Linked DNA regions of Lytechinus pictus. The protein of the gene in region 3 purifies or fractionates together with the protein of the main gene of each other region. This does not show direct contact. Links are inferred from orthologs where the notes say so. Each region holds a gene or a part of one and is shown on either strand. Other genes may lie near its edges.

Region 1 (7,921 bases), on a different chromosome or scaffold from region 3:
AACATTTTTTTTAATCCTGAAAATGAAATCTTCATGTCGTTGCAGAAGCAGTAGCCGATCCCAAGGAGCTCTCAGCCAATGTGTTTCTTGAAAGCAACTCCAAATCTCCCGATGCCATCTCACACGGTCCGTCCCTGTTAAATGTTGACATTGATCTACCCGGAACCCCAACCAGTGATTCTAACACATCGCCAAGCACTCCTTTGGAAGTCAACAGTTCACTAAGTTCCAACAGTCAGAGACAGATGCTGTCAACCCCAAGCAACATCCAGCTCGAGGAGGCTGCCAGTAAGGACCCTATCGTCTAACCAGCTCATCGATCTACCAGGAACCCCAATTAGGGATTCTAGAACTGCCCCAGGTACCTTGTGAATCTTAATAGTTCACTCAGTTCTAATAGTCAGAGACAGATGCTGTTAACCCCAAGCAATATCCAGCTAGAGGAAGCTACCAGTAAGGACTTTACTTTTACTTATGCCTTTGGCCCCTCCTATTGCCCCTTCTAAGACACAGGCCTGTCAAAAAGGATCCACCTGGCAGAGTGGACCTGAGCCAACGTCTCCAGATCTTTCCATGTGTGGCCCATGCTTTTAGCATCTTCATCCATGTCTCTGCGCCATGAGTTTTGAGGCCTTCCCCTCTTCCTCTTTCCTTGAGGATTCCAAGACAGCAAGTGAAGACCCTGTCGTCTAAATTCCATTTGGTGACACCAGATGACCTGATGACATTACTTAAAGTTTGTTAGAGCTCTATGAAGAATGACCTGGCTTTTGAAGTTCTTGCATCAACTTTAGCACAAGATATTTTGAATATGTAATGTCCACTCATTGTATTTAAGATGTATTATATCAACTCATGTGTGGATGTTCAACTGTTATATTGTCTGTATCATATTAGTCATATATGTAAAGATCACTGCACACCTTATGATTGGTCTGTGACCCATTTTGGAATAAAACGTAAGATTAGATGCAAATAATGAGACATGAAACATCTTTCTTTGGAAAGTTCTTAATCCTCGAAGGAATACTTATGCTTAAAATCTGTGACAATGCTACCTTCCTAATGAGAATAGAAGAAAATTCAATATTTAATCATAATGACATCTTAACAGTCGTTCGATCGGCCTTGATATGAAACCAATTTGGCCTCAACTCCAAAGTAATGGCTTGCAATCATCCAAAATTGTTATTATATTAGTATTCTACATTTACTTTGAACCTAAAGAAAGTATATACCTATTTATCATTCACTTATTGAGAAAATAAACAAAAATGCAATTTGTTCCAAAATTGGATCATAGACCAGTCATAAGGTGTTCGGAGACCTTTAGAGAGATTAGTTTAACCAACAGATGAGAAAAAAAATATGTATTTAAATATTTTTTCACATCCAATACATTAAAAGATATGCATGGAAGTCGAAGTACACTACAAATACTGCATGTAGACTCCTTTTTCCTATTTTGTTTTTCTATTCTTTTCAGTTCCTGCCCTTTTTTCTTCAGGTGAAGAATGGTCATTGGCTCAGGCTAGTGGTTCTTTGAATCTATGTATTGCTCTTTTTTAAGCAGGAGTTAGATTTAGTTATTGTGCATGCATCCAGCACCTAGTTTACTTAGTATTCTATTATCCTTGAAAAATAATTGTAATTCCATTTCTTGTACATGTGCAATTCATCAATTTTGAGTGTTACCACCTGAGTATACTAGATTCGTAGAAGTTACTATCAAGTGTATCTAAGCCTGTCATCTAGTTGCATGTTGTTTTAATATGCTACTTTCTGTATTTATGTATTGTTATGCCATGTAGGTCTTTAATTGATTGGAGAGTGGCATCCTGTGTTATGTGTAGAATATGAGTCGTGAAAGGGGGACAGCTAATGTTTAATTATCAAAGCATGACAAAAAGCATGATTATTATTGCATATTCCATATTTGTTCACCATCGTAATCACAGGTGTTTTGTTTTTGTCAGCCCTTGTGCAGAGGGAAGGGGGATATTGTGTCATGAGATAACATGGCACAAACCTCTTATGTTATGAATGTAGTATTATGGTAAGTGTTTGCCCCCCCCCCCCCCTCTTTCATGATGGGGTTCAGGAACCATGTATGTGGTGTATCGTATCAAGGTCATGTATCTAAATTTGATTTGTTAATATCATAAATTAACTTCTTCATATAATGTAGTAATTTGTTTGAGGTCAATATAACTTGTATCCTCAAGATGGGGGTTTTGTGTGTGTTATCTATAGAACCTAAAAAAATTGCCTTTAACTTTTTTTGAGATGTTTCAAAGGACCAGATTTGAGCAAGGCCGTACATAATTTATTTTTTTTCCCTGGTGGGACACGACGCATAAAGAATTATGGGATTGTAGGTGACCAAGCTTATCATTTGGGCATGTTTACATCTTCTAAAGTGATATTGAAGGATTTTGTGTGCACTTATAGATCATTTTGTGGAAATTCCCGGTAAAAAAAATGTAAGTTTTCAAAATTTCTGGGGGCAATTGCCCCCTATGCTGCATACAGCCTTGGTCATGACTAAGTTTCTGAATATTTCTATTAATAAACAAGTTTCTCCTTATCTGCTAACTTAAAATATGAATGTAGAGGTTAACAACTCAAAGCAGAGTGGGAACGGGTCTCGGTATCTGTATGAGTAAAAGCACAGAGGTGCCCATTCCAAAATTTAGGACGCCTCTATAGTATCAAACGAATAAATTCAAGGGACTCTACATAAACAATAGAGGTACATTGAAAGTGTTTTGTATTTTGAAAGCATGGAAAAGTTAGTCTGATGCTTTTATTTGCTTTGTTAAAAATCTTGATGTTCCTTTGAGCTTATGAAGAGATGGTGTAGTGGTCCACCTGCACTCCCCCCCAATCAGTTATATCAGGAGAGACCTGCGGGTCATAGTGATTCAGTTCACTTTTCGCCTCCCAGGCACAGGTGACGCCAAACAAATAATAATAATACACTGTGGATATGTTTCATAAAGCTGTTCGTGAGTTAAGAGTAACTTTAAGAGCGACTGATGATCCTTTCTTACGCGCTAAATAATCACCAATGAACATTTAATGGTGAATATCATTTACCACAAGAAAGGATCACCAGTCGTTCTTAAAGTCACTCTTAACTTATGAACAGCTTTGTGAAACGGCCCCCAGTATACTGTCATTTGGGGTGTTCAAACATTCTGTTGCAAAATTCGTTTTTGAGGCCAGCACAGAAAAGGCTGTATTATGGAAATATTACAAGGGTAGCAACCATCACATGTCTGAATTTCTGAAAACTGTCTCCCAATCCCTATAGAGAACTCTTTCTAGGCATAAAAGTTTGCCACTGTATCTATGCTGAAACGCTAAAATCAATCCTTCTTGAGCTGTCCTCAAAATGTTTGAATTTCAAAATCCTGGCGATGATGATGATGTTTTTTATTCAAAGAGAAGGAAATGTTAAATATTTATAAAAGAAGATACTTAAATCATGTTTGTAATCAAGTAGTAAGGACATTAGCTATTATATTTTTATATTATTTACTCTTAAAGGGATGAATGTTTTCTTCCCATGTTCTTGTATATGCTGTCATTTACCTTTTGAGAAGATCCATAGTATATGTAGGTAGTACAATGTAAATGTATTGTAAATGTATTTGATCTTGTACATATTGATCATATAAAATAAACATATAATTATCACAACACTATAAGATGGTATGATTTTTATTGTAAGTGTAGCCTTGATAGCATAAAAAGCCCCGATGGGACAAAGTAATCACATTGAGGGAATGGGATTGATCTTTTATATGCGATAATGTGAATGTGTGCTTGTGGATGTCCAATATTCATCATGCGATATATTTTAATTGATATATGAACCATCTTCATTTTATGCATAATGACCTCAATTTCAGATTATAAATAGTGACCTTTAGATTTTGAAAAAAAAAATGAAAAGAATGAGGGAAGCACAATATGAAAAAAAAGAAACACTAGAAAAGAAACACTAAATCAGGAATTAGAAAGATATAAGAAAAAAAATGAAAATGAAAAAGATATTAAAAATAAAAAATAAAAAGATTAAAAAAAAGGATTATCCCTCTACATTAATTCTATTTCTTTCTTTTTCCATTCAAACTCTCACCCTCTCTTTGCTTTCACCATTTCTCCTTTTTTTTAACTCTTATCCAGCTTTTTTTTTCTTTCTTTCGTCCATCCGTCCATCCTTCCTTTCTTTCATTTACACCTGCATTTATTAATTATGTCTTCAAATGTCATTTTTATTTGTTATTTGTTGAACTGTATTTTAATGTTCGTGTTCTTTTTAGCACCAGCTAATGAGGAGAGTCTTTAATCAGAAACTTGATGTCTTTTGATAATCCCCAGGCATTAGCTGGTGTTCTTTCCCTTTTTTTTTTTCACACTGATATTGTATGTTGGATATTGTATGATTATTTTCAATATACTGAAATTGACTATTGTTATGAGTATAATGCCATGTGTACCTGAAAATGGAATAAAATACATGAAATAGATAAAAGGGGTGTTATTTGTGATAGCCACCCAAAGTGAAAAATACATATATATTAGGGTTAGGATTTTATCTTTTATCTTTTTACTTGCACTATAGTTTAGTTTTGTTCAACTGCACCAAATGTCATGTGTTTTTGTGATTGCGGCCTCAGCCAAGTACGACTATACCATACTCTGTAAAGAGGACTGTACTCAACGGAAGAAGAAGGGTTAGAATAGCTGTTGCATAAGGAATTCTTTCCAATAAAAGTTTTCAATACCATATAGGTAAATGATTAAAATGAAATAGATATAAAATAAATAAATCAGAACGAGTGGAAGTTAATGCTTGCCAAATAAACTGAAAGGGAAAAAAGAAGAGGAAAAGAAAGTTCTTCCAAAAAGGAGTGCTAGCGCCATCTGCGGCGATTATCATATAGTCAACATTTGGAAACATGGCGAAGCATCATCCAGATTTAATTTTTTGTCGCAAACAGCCTGGTGTTGGTAAGTTAACCATCGATAATTTGAATTTTCAAGGGATGGGTGACTTCTTCAATTTTCAAAGTAGTAAATAAAAAGCAACAGATCTACCAGATTTATCAAATATGCAACATTAACCATCGAAACCGAAACGTTTAATCATCGTTCAAATGACTTCAGTCCGATCCCTTTATTTTGGATGTGTGTTTAATAAACAGTTTACGGCGGCGGCGTGGGGGCAGCGCGCAGCGCTAGGTTCAGTCCTTTCAGTTTCAGCTTTCGTGTCCCAGTCTAAAAATAAAGCGGTGTGGACTATGGTATGATTGCTATCCAGGTGCGGGTCCATAGGAAGGGGGCCGAGGTGAAGAAGCCTTGTCCCCCCCCAAAAAAAAAAAAAGCTAGGCTAGATCTAGCTCTAGGCTAAAACGGAGAGGGGAAAAAAAGGGGGGAATAGAGAAAAACAAGAGAAATGAAGAAAGGAAAGAAAAGAAAAGGACGGGGGGGGGGGGAAGAAAGGAAGAAACGAGAAACAAAGTATGAGATGAAAGGGAGGAGAATGAGAGAGAAAGAAGGAATTAGAAGAAAGCAGTGGAAGGGGAAAAAGAAAAAGATAACAATGACACATGAAATAAAGATGTTGTGTTTTTAATCCTCTCTTTCGCTATTGTTTTTGTATTGTAGTTCACACAATTTGCCCTGTCTAAAAACTCTAAGCTTGCTGGAAATTCCTTGAAAGATTTGGTCTCAAAATGATTTTAACCCAAAATTGTGAATGGTTAGCCTCAGAGACATTGAGAAAATGATCATCAAATCTGAACTTTCTTAAAAATGAATTAAAAAGAAGTTTGTATTTAAAGACAAAGTTCACCCTGATAATCTTGATGACAAGTTGGTTTTAATAAAGAAAAAACAATTGAGAAGGTTTGATGATTTTTTTTCATAGTAGGATATCCCAATCATGTAATATGATTCCATAAATTTCAGTTTTGTTTTGGAATATGATGAATAATTTTTGGGGGTTGCAGAATTAGAAAGGTTATAAAATGTGTCTTCCTGTCTGGTGATATATCTGCCACACAACTAAAATCAATTAAACTTTTTTTAGATAATCGAAATAGCATTTATGTGAAATTATATCATACGACATATAAACGAGCTGCTCATTTGTGATTTTACTAAGTCAAAACTTTAAAAATTCAATTCTCGGGTTTTCCTTAGTCAGATTTTCATCAAACTTTCACTTATACAGGGCTCGACACTAGCGCCGGTCCGACGGTCCCAGACCGGTAAAAATCGCTGTCGGGCTAGTAGATTTTCAGAAATAGGAAGATTTACTGGTCCGACATGACCAGTAAAAAATATCATTGTCGGGCCAGTAATTTTTCCAAAAATAGCAAGATTTAAGGGTCCGACATGACCAGTAATAAAAACCATTGTTGGGCCAATAACTTTTCCAGAAATGGTCAAATTCACTGCAAACCATTTCCCCCCGTAAAATTATGTCATTCACACACAGAATACACACAGAATGAATCGCACGTAAGTGTTACTAAAGTAGCATACAGTGTACATGTAGCCAGCCACACAACCCACGTGGTAAATTCTCTACTGGCTGCGCGAAGGAAGCTTGGCTAAACTCTGGCAGAAATCTCTCACAGAACTGTCAAAATTCACGATTCATACTCATGAAAGGCTCTTATAATGTCCATATTTCCTAAAAATTGGAGTAACTCTGTAATTTGTAAGCAGTAAAAGGAGAAATTTTCACTTCTGTTTTGGTTCAAACAGATCGGGTTTCGGGTGATATCGTCTGAATACATAATAGCCCCACATATGCATTTATGTGTGTGTTGATACACTTGGTTTCTTTCGTAGCTATTTTAATTGAGCCAAAAGAAACTGATAAATTATTTGATAGTTTTAGCTTTCTTCCTCTGTTTTCTTCCTATCTTTCTTTCCTTCTTTCTTTTTAAGCTTTTTTTGTTTCTTCCCTCTCTTCTTTCATTTTTTTTGTTACTGTCTTTTTTTAATTTCCCCTTTTTTCCTTTAATTTGTTCTTACATTCTTTCTATCCTTTCAAAAAATATTTTTCTCTATTTCTCTTTTTTTTCTCTCTCTCTTTCTTTCTTTCTTTCTTTTTTTGGGTGATATTTTCCTTTCTTTAATTCTTGAGTCCATCCATCCTATATTCATCTCTTCTCTTCTTCCTTTCGTTCCTTCCTTCTTTTTACCCTTTTCTTTCCTTCATTCTTTGTTACTTTCTTTGTTTCTTTCTTCCTTCCATCCATCCATCATTTATTTACCCTTTCTTGTTTTTTTTATTTCTTCCTTCTTTCAGCCCTCTCTCTCTTACATTCATTCCTTCCTTCTATCTGTCTTGTTCTTTCCTTTTTCCCTTTGTTAAATCTGTCCTTTTACCTTTTCTTTTTTGACTGCTTGCTTCCTTTCTCTCCTTTATTCTTTCATTCCTTCCTTTCTTTGTCTCTCAGTCTTTCTTTTTTTCTCCCTTTCATCTTTTCTTTTACCTTTTATTTTCTTATATTGCTTGCTTCTTTCCTTCCCTTCCTTCCTTTATTTCTTTCCTTCTGTCTATCATTTTACCTTTCCTTTATTTCTTCCTTAATTCCTTTTTCCCTTCTTTCAATCCTTCCTTCCTCTCTTTCTTTCTTTTGTCCTTCTTTCCATCTCTCTTTTTACCCTTTCTTTTTTATTGCTTCTTTCTTTCCTTTACTACTTTCTGGATTTGTTCTTTCTTTCTGTATTGCTTGCTTCATTTCTTTCCTTCATTTCTTTTTTATTTTCTTTCTTTCTTTCTTTCTTATTTTTGTTCCTTCTTTATTCCTTCCTTCCTTTCCTTCTTTAGTTCTTTCTTTTTTTCCCTTCCTTCACATCTATCCTTTCTTTACCCTTTTTTTTTTCTTCC
Region 2 (8,043 bases), on a different chromosome or scaffold from region 3:
AAACTGTATTATAGCGTATATTTTTATTTACTCAAGCTGCAGTTGCTTTCCATGATCATGAATTGGTTTTATAATACTTGCTGTTAACTAATGTAATTGTCACTTGTTTTTTCCAACAGCGAGAATATATTGCTATATGTGTCCAGCCACCCCAATACCAACAATAAATACATTGATTTAAAGATTCTCATTGATCTTGAGCGATCACATCCTAAGCTGTAAAATGATTTATCTTGTTAATATTGATCAATAATATCCCTCGCTAGTACTTCATTGAATGCAGAAGAAGTTTGGTGAGAGCTTCAACAAATAAGAGAACAAGATTTGGGGTTCACTTAAGCATGCGATGTGTAATATGTAGTTCAACTACGTAGCAGTGAGCAAAACACGGATATCAAAGTCTTGTATTTTGTCTTCAACTTTTACAACCTCACATTTTGACAGTATGAAGAAATTTCTTTTTTTTCGGATAAACCAATATTCTAAATATGCGTTTGGAAAACTGAATTACTATTTTGGTTATTTTCTACGAACCTTCCCTGGCAACTTATTGTTGATATTTGGGTGGCTGGCCACATTTGTTTTGAGAAAAAATATCAAAGAGTATATGAAAAAAAAGATTTATGTAAAAAAGCTTGCCTAGCTGTTGGTATTTTCTTCTATTGTACTTTGTCATGTAACTCTGGTAGATTTCATTTCGTTACACAAAATGGGGTTCAGTATTCAGAAAAACCATTAACCTTGCCTCAACCACAACAGTACTTGCCAAACTGGATAAATCAACATTATATCAAGCTGTGTAGAAGAACTTAATGATCATGTAGATACCATTAAGTGCATACATATATAATGTCTTTCAAGCTGTATGACAAAAATATTCTTTTCCATCCAACATCAGCTTCTACTATTTTTTAAGGTTAGTTTTTATTGTCATGTTGGCAAATTGTGAAATAGTTCATGTTGAAATATGTTGTATTACCTGTCATGCATTTGTAATGTTATTTTTTTAGAATATATTCTGTCATCATTTTCAGTACATAAAAGTTTATTCAATGTATGCCTTTACCAAAGTTGGCCATAAGCACAGTGGGTACCAACTATCACTGAAGACAACACAACAATTACTCAAAATATATGCATAGCCTTATGAATGTACAAGTCAATAAAATCTACTATGACTACATAGCTTTTTTTTGTGCAACACAGTCATATTTCATTTGGATCAATTCAAAATTGAGTGGTGTTTTGGGGGTAATGCTATGGTAACTGCAGTTCTGTTGTCCTCTGACAGTTGGTGTTGTAAGGATGTGATTGGCAGTGTGTTATAAGAGAAAAAAGAAAGTTAAAGTGAGAGTGTTGGCTTTGAAATGGACTCAACCTATGAAAGTTAAAGTTTGTGCTGCAGAAACTGGTGTGGTAGTGGGATGATAATGATGATGAGGAACAGGGCCGGTATTCAATGCTACTCTTAAAGCCATAATTTCAAGTATATTTTACTCAGTATTTTGCAAAAGTAAAATACTTATCCATCTTTGGTATTCAATTGCATTTTTTTTTGGCTAAATATTTTGCTTAAATGTAAGTCAGCCATCTACTAGACTTAAGTCTACATATACAAAAATGATACGCACAGAAATACATTCACACATTTGGCACTATTTGGCTCAAAATTTATAACATCACAATGGGTATTAGTATTTAGTTCAATTTGGATAAGGTAAATTCTGAGATCTGATCTGCATACAAGTTTAAGCATTTTGATAAGCCAGCCAAATTGCTAAGTAAAATACTTACAAAATCAAAACTTAGAATTTAATAGGCGGCCGAGGTATTATTTTCTTCCAGAGGACATGTACAGATTTCTTGTTGACAAAGGATGACATGATGATTATTTTGCAAATATGGCTTATTAAAAAATATATTATGTATATTCCATTTCAGTGACAATTGCATTTTTGGGGAGGGGATATTACGTATTTGGGAATGGAAAAGTTCAAAATTAATGCAAACTTAACCTATTTACGCAGGGGGGGGGGGGCTCTGAGCTCTGCGATTTAAAAAAAAAAGTCTTTTGCATGTTTTGAGACCAGTTTTGCGAAGCCCGGGTACTGGGTTCTGAAAATTACCAAACAATTTGTAAGTGCATATCAGACAAAAATGGCTCAAAATTGTGACATTTGTGTACCACGTCAATGGAATATGCGTTTTCAACCAAAATTCATGAATGCCTAATTGTTTTTAGTTTTGTTGAACTAAACTGATTTATTTTATGCTGTTACGAGAGTCTGAGCATCGTTGAAAAAAAACAATGCAATACAAAGGTAAAAACACAAGAAATACATTATCGAAGAACACCACAAAGAGTTTCTAAACCAAAAATTAGAACATTTGGAGCTTTATTTAGGGAGTTAGAGGAATAGGTATAGTATACTAATTATGCACAAATGAGCATAATCAATTAATAGCAATTTGCATGAAATAAATAAATAACTACACAATTTTGTGGATTATTAAAAGCAATTGCGATCTTTTTCTTCACTATTCATTGTTTTTAGAAACCTCATTGTAGACTTGCCTCATGCACCTCTCAAGATGGCTTCATCATTTGAATTATATTCACCATAACTTGTAATACAGTTTATTCTTTTTAAAAACCTCCATTAACTAATTGCCTCACCTCCTTTTAAATTGGCTTCACCATAATTTGTAATACAGTTTATTCTTTTTAAAAACCTCTATTGAAACTTGCGTCGCCTCCTTTTAAATTTGTAGTACAGTTTATTCTTTTTTAAAAACCTCCATTGAAACTTGCCTCACCTCCTTTTAAATTGGCTTCACCATATACAGTTTATTCTTTTTAAAAACCTCCATTGAAACTTGCCTCACCTCCTTTTAAATTGGCTTCACCATAATACAGTTTATTCTTTTAAAAAACCTCCATTGAAACTTGCCTAGCTCACCTCCTTTTAAATTGGCTTCACCATATACAGTTTATTCTTTTTAAAAACCTCCATTGAAACTTGCCTCACCTCCTTTCAAATTTGTAGTACAGTTTATATTCTTTTTAAAAACCTCTATTGAAACTTGCGTCGCCTCCTTTTAAATTTGTAGTACAGTTTATTCTTTTTTAAAAACCTCCATTGAAACTTGCCTCACCTCCTTTTAAACTGGCTTCACCATAATACAGTTTATTCTTTTTAAAAACCTCCATTGAAACTTGCCTCACCTCCTTTTAAATTGGCTTCACCATAATACAGTTTATTCTTTTTAAAAACCTCCATTGAAACTTGCCTCACCTCCTTTTAAATTGGCTTCACCATAATACAGTTTATTCTTTTTAAAAACCTCCATTGAAACTTGCCTCACATCCTTTTAAATTGGCTTCACCATAATACAGTTTATTCTTTTTAAAAACCTCCATTGAAACTTGCCTCACCTCCTTTTAAATTGGCTTCACCATAATACAGTTTATTCTTTTTTAAAACCTCCATTGAAACTTGTCTCACCTCCTTTTAAATTGGCTTCACCATAACCCAGGACCAAAATCCAATTGAAACCAGTTGGATTTCCAACTGGTTTCAATTGGTTTCAATTGGTTTTAACTGGTTTCAATTGGTTTTAACTGGAATTTAACAATTTCCAGTTGAAACCAATTGAAACCAGTTGGGCAACTGGAAATCCTAACTTTAACCTCCTTTAATTTAAATTGGCTTCACCATAATTTGTAGTACAGTTTATTCTTTTTAAAAACCTGCATTGAAACTTGCCTCACCTCCTTTTAAATTGGCTTCACCATAATACAATTTATTCTTTTTAAAAACCTCCATTAAAACTTGCCTCACCTCATTTTAAATTGGCTTCACCATAATTTGTAGTACAGTTTATTATTTTTTAAAAACCTCCATTGAAACTTGCCTCACCTCCTTTTGAATTGGCTTCACCATTGTAGTACAGTTTATTCTTTTTTAAAAACCTCCATTGAAACTTGCCTCGCCTCCTTTTAAATTTGTAGTACAGTTTATTCTTTTTAAAAACCTCAATTGAAACTTGCCTCACCTCCTTTTAAATTGGCTTCACCATAATTTGTAGTACAGTTTATTCTTTTTAAAAACCTCCATTGAAACTTGCCTCACCTCCTTTTAAATTGGCTTCACCATAATACAGTTTATTCTTTTTAAAAACCTCCATTAAAACTTGCATCACCTCCTTTTAAATTGGCTTCACCATAATACAGTTTATTCTTTTTTAAAACCTCCATTGAAACTTGTCTCACCTCCTTTTAAATTGGCTTCACCATAATACAGTTTATTCTTTTAAAAAACCTCCATTAAAACTTGCCTCACCTCCTTTTAAATTGGCTTCACCTTAATACAGTTTATTCTTTTTTAAAACCTCCATTGAAACTTGTCTCACCTCCTTTTAAATTGGCTTCACCATAATATTCAGGTAAGGTATATTCATTCTTTTTTTAAAAAACATCATTGTTCACTTCCCTCACCTAGATCATTTGGGTATATATAATACCTTTTATTCTACACTATTCTTCCCTTTAAAAAAACCTGATTGTACTCCTGCCTCCCCTGATCTGACATTTGCCTCTCAACGTACTGGAAATAGATACCCTTTTTTCAATATTTTTGTGTTTTTGACACCCTTATCACGTTACGTACGTAACGTGCCCTCTCTTGAAAAAGACATCCTTTTTACGTGTTTTTTTGGTTGCGCATGGTATCCACTCGTCAATGTAAGTGGCACCCCCGGGCGTACTGTACAGTGTTATTTTATTATCTCTTTATATCGGAAACTTCGTTTTACCGAATTGCCATGCACTCTCTCCGACGCGTAATTGAAGTCTTAGACAGCATGGCATACTACCAGCCGATGGTACACACACGCACGCACACACACGTTATTTGACAACTTGTCTCTGGAGCCAAAGTTCCTCGCATATATATCTGCATGCCTGCACGCAGTGTGTATTGAACACGCACGACCACGATCTAATGAATATTCATCGGCGAGACTGACGTCATTTTACGAGTCTCCTTTCAAACTTGGATCATAAGTGCCTACCAAATAGAAATGGCAGCGATTTCAGCTTTGCAGGCTTATGGAAGTGACGAAAGTGATGGAGATATTAGTGATAAGGAGTCCAATTCTGAAGATGCGACGGCACATCTCAGACCACTTGAGAAGGATCGGACCATTAAATCTTTGCAAGTGAAATTACAATTGAACGCAGCACCAACGGTGGACGAAACAAGTGACGTGAGTATTTGTACGTTGTCCCATATATCTGACTTGATGTTGGTAAAAATAAAATAAAACTAGATTTTAATTCGTCATGCGGACGAATTAGGTGGTCTGTCCTTATTCTCGCCATCATGATCACTATTTCCATGTTCAAGCAGATCAATATGATCTTCATGATGACAACGGAATGTTCATTATGGATGGAATACTTGCGAAAGTCGGGAGATGATAAAGAACTGTGAAAAGGGTCTCTTGATATATGAAAATACATGTGATATGAAAATAGTAATTATAATCTGTTTAATCTTGCTAATTTTTAACTTTCATACCTTTTGAATACCATAAAGGATCGTGTACGAGGTGGTAAAAAGAAAAAAAAAATGAAAAAAAAATCACCTTGTTCACCCCCAGGACTCGAGCCTGCGCCCCCGAGATCTCAAGTCAAGTGCGTTATCCATTGAGCCACGATATTCCCCATAGAGATTACACGTTCCCATAGAGATTACACGTAAGCAAATTTGAGAATTGCAAATCCAACTTTGCAAGCGAAAAACGGGCATGATCCCGGTATCTGATCAAAAAATGGAGGGCACACTTCCGAAAGCTGAGAATCTTAGCTACACCATATTCAAAGCTCAGAGACAACTGACAAAAGAAAATGGAGATATAGCTCACGAAATAGAGGAATGTAGAATCTAGTTTTGAGAAAAAGTTATGTCCCATAGAGATTACACGCAAAATGAGTAAAAATGACATGCCTTTATTATTTGCAATTTTTCAAGATGATCCGTTCATTAAAATGAAAAATAAAGGCAATAACTCAGAAAGAGTAAGACCTAAGCTACAACATATCGAAAATTGGGCGAAAATTAACTAATATTCACGGAGTTAGAGCCTAATTTGCATAATGGTTATGACGTCATAACAAGCAAAATGGATATTTTGATTTCCAACGCAGTTTTGATGACGTCATGATCAAATTGAGAGACAATGGTGACATGAAATCAAATCTACAACTCATATTCTATCGACATTTGAAAAAAAAATTGGGGGTCAACGGACTATTTAAAGAGCTACAGTGAATTTCCAATAGGCATGTTTTCGCCCATATATGGCCTGTAGTGAGAGCTCGCGCGCACACGTGCTGCAAACTTTAACGGGTGTTTATTTCGTTATCAATGGTCATAGAAGGTTGATCAAGGTATCAAATTGCTCAGAATTATATCATCAATGCAATGATGTAAAAAAAACTGTGTTTCTGCGTTGCGTTATGGCGTTGCGCGCGGAAACGCGCGCGCATACGTGCATGCGCGCAATTTTTTTGAAATGCTTAAAATGACTTGAAACGTACCCAAAAAAATTTATAAGCCATTTGGAGAATTTTTTTGGCTTTGACGCGCGTGTACGCGCGCGTCTTGACCTTTACATGACCTTTGATGACATTGACAGATGACCTTTGATTTAAAGTTTATGTGATGTAAATATGGTTGATTATTGATGATCCGTTATGTTGATATGATCAAATTGAGAATTTTACAAAATGGCGCGTAGATGACGTCATCATGACCAGATGACCTTGAAAAGCTTAGTATGCCGTCTCTATGATAGACTCTATATATGACAGAAAAATCAGCCAAAATGATTCAGCCAATTCGGAGAAAAGTTGGCGACAAACATAGGTGCTAAAAATAAATAATAAAGAAAGAAAATTCTGACGAAATTAAGAGGTGATCTGTCATAGACAGACCACCTAACTATAAATAACTTAGAAGTTTAGACATGTTACTGTTAGAAGACGTGCATCCCACATTGTCAATTAATTGCATGTGTAACGTTAGACAGCTGGCAGCCGTCTGTTTCGAGGAGTTTTTTAAAACATTTTTTTTATTTTCTCCTCGTACACAGACGGCTCGCTATCGTGCAGCCACCATTAGGCCTAGGGCACTCCTAGTACCAATGAGGTCCAACATTACATGTATGGACCTCATAGGCGACATCAGTAGTATTTTTGGTTAGAAATCTCTGAGAACAGGATATTTAAACATTATATCACAAGTACAAGCTATAATTCCTTTCTCTTATTTAAATTATAATTTTATAGTGTAAATGCATCGTTAGCAACAACAAAAAATGAAAGAAATGAAGGGGAACTTACATTTTCACGGCTTTTTCCTGATTTTCTGGGCAGCTGCTCTTCTCTTCTGACTCGCGATCGAAGCTGATATGAAGATCACGTGATTCGCGTTCTCGTCAGCTGATCGGTTGGTTATTCTTTTCGTCAGACGTTAATAATATATATTTTATAATGCTAGCATTCATCGCTAATTTAGGTGAAAGAGATTGAAGTTAAACAGCGCCAGGTCGGAATCATAATTATTTTGGAAGAGTGTATTTATACACTCGATCTCATACCTGACGTAGACGGCGCTATTCAACAAATGCACAATCTTCAATATAAAAATAAAACAGAAAGAACGCCTTGAACACAGGCCAAAATGCCTAACGATTTCTCCGCGGCATTAACAACTATCGTAAAGGGCGCTCCATTTATCAATAAAGATGGACGCTAAGCTGTCTATGGCGACAAAATTTGCCGCAAATATTTACGAAGAATTGTGAGAAATGGTCTGAAAATGCAACAAAAGAACCGGTGAGTACCGATTAAACATTATTAAATTTGTAAATAGATTATACATACCTTGTAGATTTAGTTTTTAAGGTGATATTAGTGCTTAGTTCTAAGCTAGGGAGGCCCAAACGCGCGTGAGTGGAGTCCCAGTTTATTAGCAC
Region 3 (7,007 bases):
AAGCATATTAAATTATTACAATCTTAAAGCTCTACACCAGGGAAAATCAATATAGAAAAAATAAAAATGTATATATATATATATATATATCTACACAAAAAAAAGGCAGAGCCTATAGAGGCTATACGACACTGCCAAGCTTCAAGTTTAGTTCACTCTCTCACTCAGTCAAGCTCAGCTCTTTGACTGTGCACGCCCACTTCCATTGGGGATTCGGGCTGAATCCCACCCCGCCAGTTTAGGCGGCCGAGCTACGTAGAATTGCGATGAAGAGCAGCGGACCGTTCATCGGTTGTTCGCTTCTTACGACCAGAGAGAAAAGGTGAAAAACTTAAAGAAAATCGTGCAATACTCCAAATTTTATCCTTTTGATGAGAAAATGGAGTTAATGGAATACAAGAAAGTCCATCTTCTGCGATAAAAGTGGTAACTTGAGGAGAAATTATCACAAAATCAAGTCAGTTGTTGAGCGGGGCCGAGCCGAGCACCTACACAGTTAATACACACGCGCCTATGGGAATCGCGAGCTGTCGAAAAACGCCTAAAATTACACTTTTTTATTTATTTCAGCGAAAAAAAAGTAATAGAAAGTGAAGAACATTACCATCAGACCATATCTCTAGAAAATCTTTACAAGAAATTTCGAAATGACGGAAAAATAGACTCAAATTTGTGGGGAAAAAATCACGAAACGGGTGAGACAACTCGGCCCACGGTCCGAGTTGTCCCGTGGTCCGAGTTGTCCCTGAGTATAGCATTTTGCTGTCGATCTAATATAAATATTTCATTTTTTGAGCTTGAGTTTTTGTTTAAATCTCCACACAAACTTTGGTCCGCGAAGTTAGGTCACACTTTTTCAGAACGGTTTTTCAGCACAGCGCGCATTCGCCGATCGGAATAGAATTTTGACATCGCTATACCAGCGTAACCCTTTGACCTACTTTACATTTTCGTCCATGATTTTATAGTTTACGATCTTGCCGTCAATGTGGTAACTATTTCTTGAATTGGCTTTGTATGAATTATGAATATTTTGTGAACAAATTTAAGCCTAATAAATATTTTTGAAAAGTCCGCGAAGTTTGGACACCCCATCATACTAGCTACTGTACTGGCACTGCTAGCTGCTGCTAATGGTGGCTGCATGATAGCGAGCTGTCTGCAGTAGAGGCGCACGGCCAATATTGGAGACTGTCTCCAATGTGGGAGATAATATCAGAGACTTTTGTAAAGAATTTGGGTATCCAATTTCAGAGACAGTCTCCAGTTTTGGAGACCAATTTCCTTTGTTTACATTTGCTGCAAAAGGATTACCTTGGCGGCAAATAAAAATGTGATAAGATAAGCAGATTCCTCATGAAAAATTACCCCTTTTCACCGTCTACTTTAAAAATTCACCGTCTACTTTTGTTTTGATTTGGATTTTTGTTGTCAATCACACACAAAACAAATGGGCTTCTGACCTCGGGAAATTTACCCCGATCAGAAAATACCAGGTACTTTGGCGGTGTGAAAGCAAACTACGCGTAATATCCCCGAAAGAAAATACCCGATAAATAGTAGGTACTTGGCGAAATTACGAGAACTTTCGCGGGGATTTTTCCAAGGTCGTGGGTATTTTGGCGGTCTGAAAGCAAATTACGGGAACTTTTAGCCCAGCGTGTCGTTGGGTGCGGCGCCGTGCATGGGTTGCTGCTGGGCTAGTGATTTTGAATTTCGCGCCTTGCTGCTTATCAGACCATACTGCGCATGCTCGTAACTTCAGGAACTTATCCCGAAGGCGAAGGGTATGTTTCAGGGCGGTGTGAATGCAGGAATAATTAATGGGTATTTTTCAGCCTAAAAAAGTTATCGTAATTTAACAGGGATTCTTGTGATCGAGGCGGTTTGAAACCACCTAGTGAGACAAAATTTTGGGTGGAAAAAATTGTGCTTTTGTTGGTGTTGTTTCTTTTGTCAGTAGAGGCGCACGGCCAATATGGGAGACTCTCTCCAATAGGGGAGACAATCTCCCACATTGGAGACTTGCTTTGCAAAAGGACAAAAGAAACAACACCAACAAAAGCATGATTTTTTCCACCCAAAATTTTGTCTCACTGAGGTCAGAAGCCCATTTGTTTTGTGTGTGATTGACAACAAAAATCCTTATCAAAACAAAAGTAGACGGTGAATATTTAATGTAGACGGTGAAAAGGGGTAATTTTTCATGAGGAATCTGCTTATCACATTTTTATTTGCCGCCAAGATAATCCTTTTGCAGCAAATGTAAACAAAGGAAATTGGACTCCAAAACTGGAGACTGTCTCTGAAATTGGATACCCAAATTCTTTACAAAAGTCTCTCATGTTGGAGATAATCTCCCACATTGGAGACAGTCTCCAATATTGGCCGTGCGCCTCTACTGTTTGTCCTTTTGCAAAGCAAGTCTCGAATGTGGGAGATTGTCTCCCCTATTAGTATTGGAGAGAGTCTCCCATATTGGCCGTGCGCCTCTACTGGTCTGTGTAAGAGGAGAAATTTAAAAAAAATAATGTTAAAAAACTCGAAACAGACGGCTGCCAGCTGTCTCGGAGCCTCCTGGGGAGCGTTTCATGAAAGGACTTGTCTGACGTTTTATCCGACAAGTCCCATTTTATCCGCCAGTTACCATAGGAACAGTGCCTTTCAGCCAGTCAACATGCAGGGAAAGATGTCAGATCTGACAACTTGTCGGATGAAAATGATTGAACACTCCCCTGGCTAGCCATCCATGGCATGGCCATGGCGCAGCGCGCAGCTGCAACCAGCAGAATTCACCGCCGCATCGCGGGGTCTCTAGTCTAGGTCCCCGGAGCGCCGGGGCAGGAGGCAATGAGACTACCGTTCACTCGCCCTCACACTCACACAGACTCAAACTGAACAGCAGTTTACAATCGACGATTTACTTACCACGGAGATCAATTTCTCTATCCCTCACAGGATTCAGGTACTGTGCTGCCTGATCAATCAATTCCGGTGTTAATTTAACCATTTTACAGATCTGTTTTACTTCAGTGAACACAATTTAATCACATAAAAAACACGTTTCAAAGACGCCGTTTCAGGAATTGTCGAAAGTGACTTAATGCAGATCCCGCGTGCATTCGGACATTGTTAAAAAAACGCAGAAGATACGAATAATACGAAAAAAAATCTATTGTGATAACAAAATAAACGTTTAGTTTGTTGGACCGACATGCCCGGCCCCCACCCCAGAAAACACAAACAAACAAAAAAATATAACAGAATAACTGAGAAATACAGAAAGTATAAATACTTAAAATTAAATGAGATACCGGGTACATATACAGGCAGAAGAAAAGGAACAATCACAAGTCTTAATTTTGTAGATTTTTTTTTGTACGGGCCGGCAAGTCAGACCTACCGTATATTCTCTTTATAAGGCAAGCATAATGAAAATTTGACCTTGCATGAAAACAAAACCATTTTCATGTGTAAATAGGTTTTGATATGTCTTCACCATTTATTTTTCACTTAGCTTCATCTCATCCGACCCCCGCCCCCCCCCCCCCCCCCCCCCCCCCCTCTTGATCCCTCGACACTCATGCTATTCCGATGGTGGATGTGCATGAAGCCGCTGTGAAAAAAAAACCTAGAAGTTTCAGGAATATGGAGAAATTTACAGGAAATCATTTCCTTTGATGAAATTTAACGAGGCAGGCCGGTACATGCATGGATCCAGGGGCAGACACTGGCAGGAGGTGTGCATGGCATGGGCGCCCTATGAGCCGCCTAGCTATGAGGCAATTAAGAAAAAAAAAGAAAAGAGAAGAACCCAAAATAGAGGCGCCACTTAGACACTCGAACGCGGAGTTTGTGCAGTTATGTCCCAAATTGGCACAAAATCTATTAAAACAAGGATTTTTGTACCCCAGATATATTTATTTGTTTATTTCATGTAGTTTTTCTTGGGGGTATATATATATAGGCTTTAATGAAGAAGCAATTATATAGCTAGTGGAGGTCATGAGTGAGAGCTATTGACTCCGGCCAGCGTTTTTCAGTTCTTGGCATCCGGCTGTCTGGAGGCTACCCCGTGAAATGGGGACAAACCCAGATTTAAAGGGGAATTAAGTTCACCCTGATAATAGCAGAAATTAGTGAAGCGCTAGATGAAAATCGATCAAATGATAAAAGATTTATAGATTTGGATTTTGTGACGTCACATACAAGCAGTTCCTCCATAATGACACATGAAAAAATTAAACATGATTTTATTTGTGCGATGGATTTCTCATCAGACAAATATCATTTCACGGGCCTTTATGAATATAACAATATTCTTCATATTCCTTTGAAAATGGAAGTGATATTACATGATATAAGCTGCTCACATAATCGTGTCACAAATTAAAAACGTCATATTCCATGGTTTTCATCAAACCTTCGCAAATATTTTTCTAAAATTTGCTGCTTTTAATATCAGCTTATCTTCAGGGTGAACTTCCCCTTTGATGTGTTAGCCAACTACCAACTGACACCTCCATTCAGCCCTTCATAATGTAGGATTGTTAATTTGTCATTTACCTATTTTGTTTATTTCCTTTGACTTGTGTTTCCTTCAGGTGTTTTACATTTCTGTTCTGTCTAGACTTTAGTTCATTTGCATTTCTTTTCAGTACTGCCCTTGCAGTCTGGACTTGGGTTATTTGAGTTTAATGATATTCAGTTGTCATTCATTCATTCTACTCTGAATGCCTTTCCTGTGTTTCTCTTGTCATCTTCATTCCTTCTCTATTCTCTCTTCAGGTGTTCCACCCATTCCATCCCTCACCCGACTCCTTAGTTTCTACTTCCATTATTACATAATCACCAGACATATCTCATCTCATTCCTTATTGGTTCATCTTATGAATTGGGTTCTTACATTTTAGTTCGATCATGGACCTATGAAGAGATGGACATTCATCGCTTAGATAATGAATTCACTAACAGGTGACGGTAATTGTCATCTGAATAACATTCTCTTCATACTAGTCTTCTTTGGTCCTATGATCGTCACCGTGAGAAGGGACTGAATTAGTTCGTTATTGGACATTTATATTTCACAAATTATATGCGCAGTTGATAGAAAATCAATGAAATAATGGATAATCGATGTGCAGTTTTTGTTTACCTTTGTTAATCTTAGTTCCATGTGTTTTATTTGGGGAAATGTCTGCATATTTTAATATAGAGGCAATATTGTGATTGATTGTTTACCATTTAAAATTCAATTTTCCCAAGTTTCTCCATAATATTCCAGATATACGTGGCACATAACATGTGTAGATCGTGTATCTTTCAATGTTATTGAGGTCCTTATGTGTGAGCGGTAGTTAGCGGATCGAATAATATAATATTTTATATCATAAAAATCGCCTGCTTCTCAAGTTTGCTGATCCATATATGAAGCAAATTGACTGAAAGGCACATACTGAAACAGGGGATCAGCCAACAAAAGTCAAGACCGGGAAACTGTTCCGTCTTTGAGTGATCAGATACCCTTGGTATACATAGTCATGGTAATTGCTATTGTTACAACACCTGTATGTTCTCATTAAAATGCGCATAACCAGGTGACGGTGACTATCATTGGGTCAAAGAAATGCTCGCGTTAATCGTCCATCTTTTCATAGGTCCATGGTTCGATCCTTCCATTTTCTTTAGTTTGATTGGTTATTTCTAATTTAAATATTTATGTAAATTATACTGTGATCCAAAGTTAAGCTGAGGCAAAATAGCCCAGATATTAAACAGTGTACAACCAGACTCCTTCGGTTTAAGTTCTCTTCATTTTGCCGCGTCTGCTTCATTCCCCTTCAGTTTGATGATTTAGAACTTCATTTATTTTCAACTCCAAACATATAATTTTCTTGAACCCTACAATAATCTCTCTCTCTTTCGTAGGCTGTATGTATCTATCCATCTCTCTCCTTCTTTTTGTATGTCTATCTCTCTCTCTCACTATCTCATTTTTTCTTTTATTTTATTTTCTCACTCTTAACTCTCTCTCCATCTTGCTACCCATCCACCCTCTCCCCCCTCACTGTTCCTCCCATATTCCACAAACACCATAACATACATACATTTTTCTCAGTTACATAAGTACACAACATAGGAAACTATTAGATGCAAACTAGTATACAAACTTTAGTGTCTTTATAATAGCATATATATTTCAACCAATATGTTTTTTTTATTGGAATGCATTTAAAAAGGCAGCTCATAATGAAAGACTATAATTGCATCCAGCCAGTCTATTTCAAATACATCATCTAAAAAAAAAAAAAATTATTTAAAAAACCTCCAAGTTAAGCTTTTGTAAGGATCATGGGTGTCGATCAGTATTCTTGGTTGGGGGGATGATGACACAAAAGTTCTTGTGGATGGGGATCTTTCAACATTACCCCCACTAAAATCACAAGTTAGGACATTTGGGAGTGATTGATATGCATGGTGTTCTTGGAAATTCCTTCATTGTTGTAGTGTACTGTACTTATATAATTTTTTTTAAAATTCAATTTGTGTTACAAGTAAGCCTATTCTAAACTCATACGAAAGAAAAAATGACAAAAATTATCTGGAACATGTACATAGTGATCTGTGGATTGAGCATGATGTATACACAGGGGCATCGATCCATTTTTCAGATTGGGGGGGGGGGGCAAAATCATGAATCAACGTTCCAAAGACGCTCGATCATATAAAACGAACAAACTCACCCACACACCCCCACACATAGGCCTATATTTTATATATATATATATGAATCATAAGAGACACATATCTCAACCTCACCAACAATGCGAGCGCGAAGCGCGAGCTGAAAATTTTTAGTACGACATGAAAACAGGAAAAATGTACCTGTTTAGGTTTGCTTGTAGTAACTCATGAGGAGCATAGATACATGTATCTCACTAGAGAGCGAGCTAAAATTTCTTTATATTCTGACGTGAAAGCTTGATATGCTAAGCACTTTTGGTACC

The links. The genes of interacting proteins can lie anywhere in the genome.
Region 1: the proteins of U2 small nuclear ribonucleoprotein A'-like (region 3) and PHD finger-like domain-containing protein 5A purify together in Homo sapiens (affinity purification with mass spectrometry; 4 studies listed by BioGRID and IntAct, with this or other methods). This does not show direct contact. The link is inferred for Lytechinus pictus from reciprocal best matches to the Homo sapiens genes SNRPA1 and PHF5A.
Region 2: the proteins of U2 small nuclear ribonucleoprotein A'-like (region 3) and pre-mRNA-processing factor 17-like purify together in Homo sapiens (affinity purification with mass spectrometry; 3 studies listed by BioGRID and IntAct, counting the BioPlex papers as one, with this or other methods). This does not show direct contact. The link is inferred for Lytechinus pictus from reciprocal best matches to the Homo sapiens genes SNRPA1 and CDC40.

Annotation. Positions count from the first base shown.
Region 1 is NC_087254.1:7,084,732-7,092,652, reverse strand, and holds the start of PHD finger-like domain-containing protein 5A, read left to right. Parts: upstream 1-4,919; 5' UTR 4,920-4,970; coding exon 4,971-5,022; intron 5,023-7,921. Other genes in the region: E3 ubiquitin-protein ligase MGRN1-like, read left to right, coding at 46-308.
Region 2 is NC_087248.1:12,677,581-12,685,623, forward strand, and holds the start of pre-mRNA-processing factor 17-like, read left to right. Parts: upstream 1-5,041; 5' UTR 5,042-5,082; coding exon 5,083-5,268; intron 5,269-8,043. UniProt on the Homo sapiens protein: Required for pre-mRNA splicing as component of the activated spliceosome. Plays an important role in embryonic brain development; this function does not require proline isomerization.
Region 3 is NC_087255.1:19,989,071-19,996,077, forward strand, and holds the start of U2 small nuclear ribonucleoprotein A'-like, read right to left. Parts: upstream 3,103-7,007; 5' UTR 2,929-3,102; intron 1-2,928. UniProt on the Homo sapiens protein: Involved in pre-mRNA splicing as component of the spliceosome. Associated with sn-RNP U2, where it contributes to the binding of stem loop IV of U2 snRNA.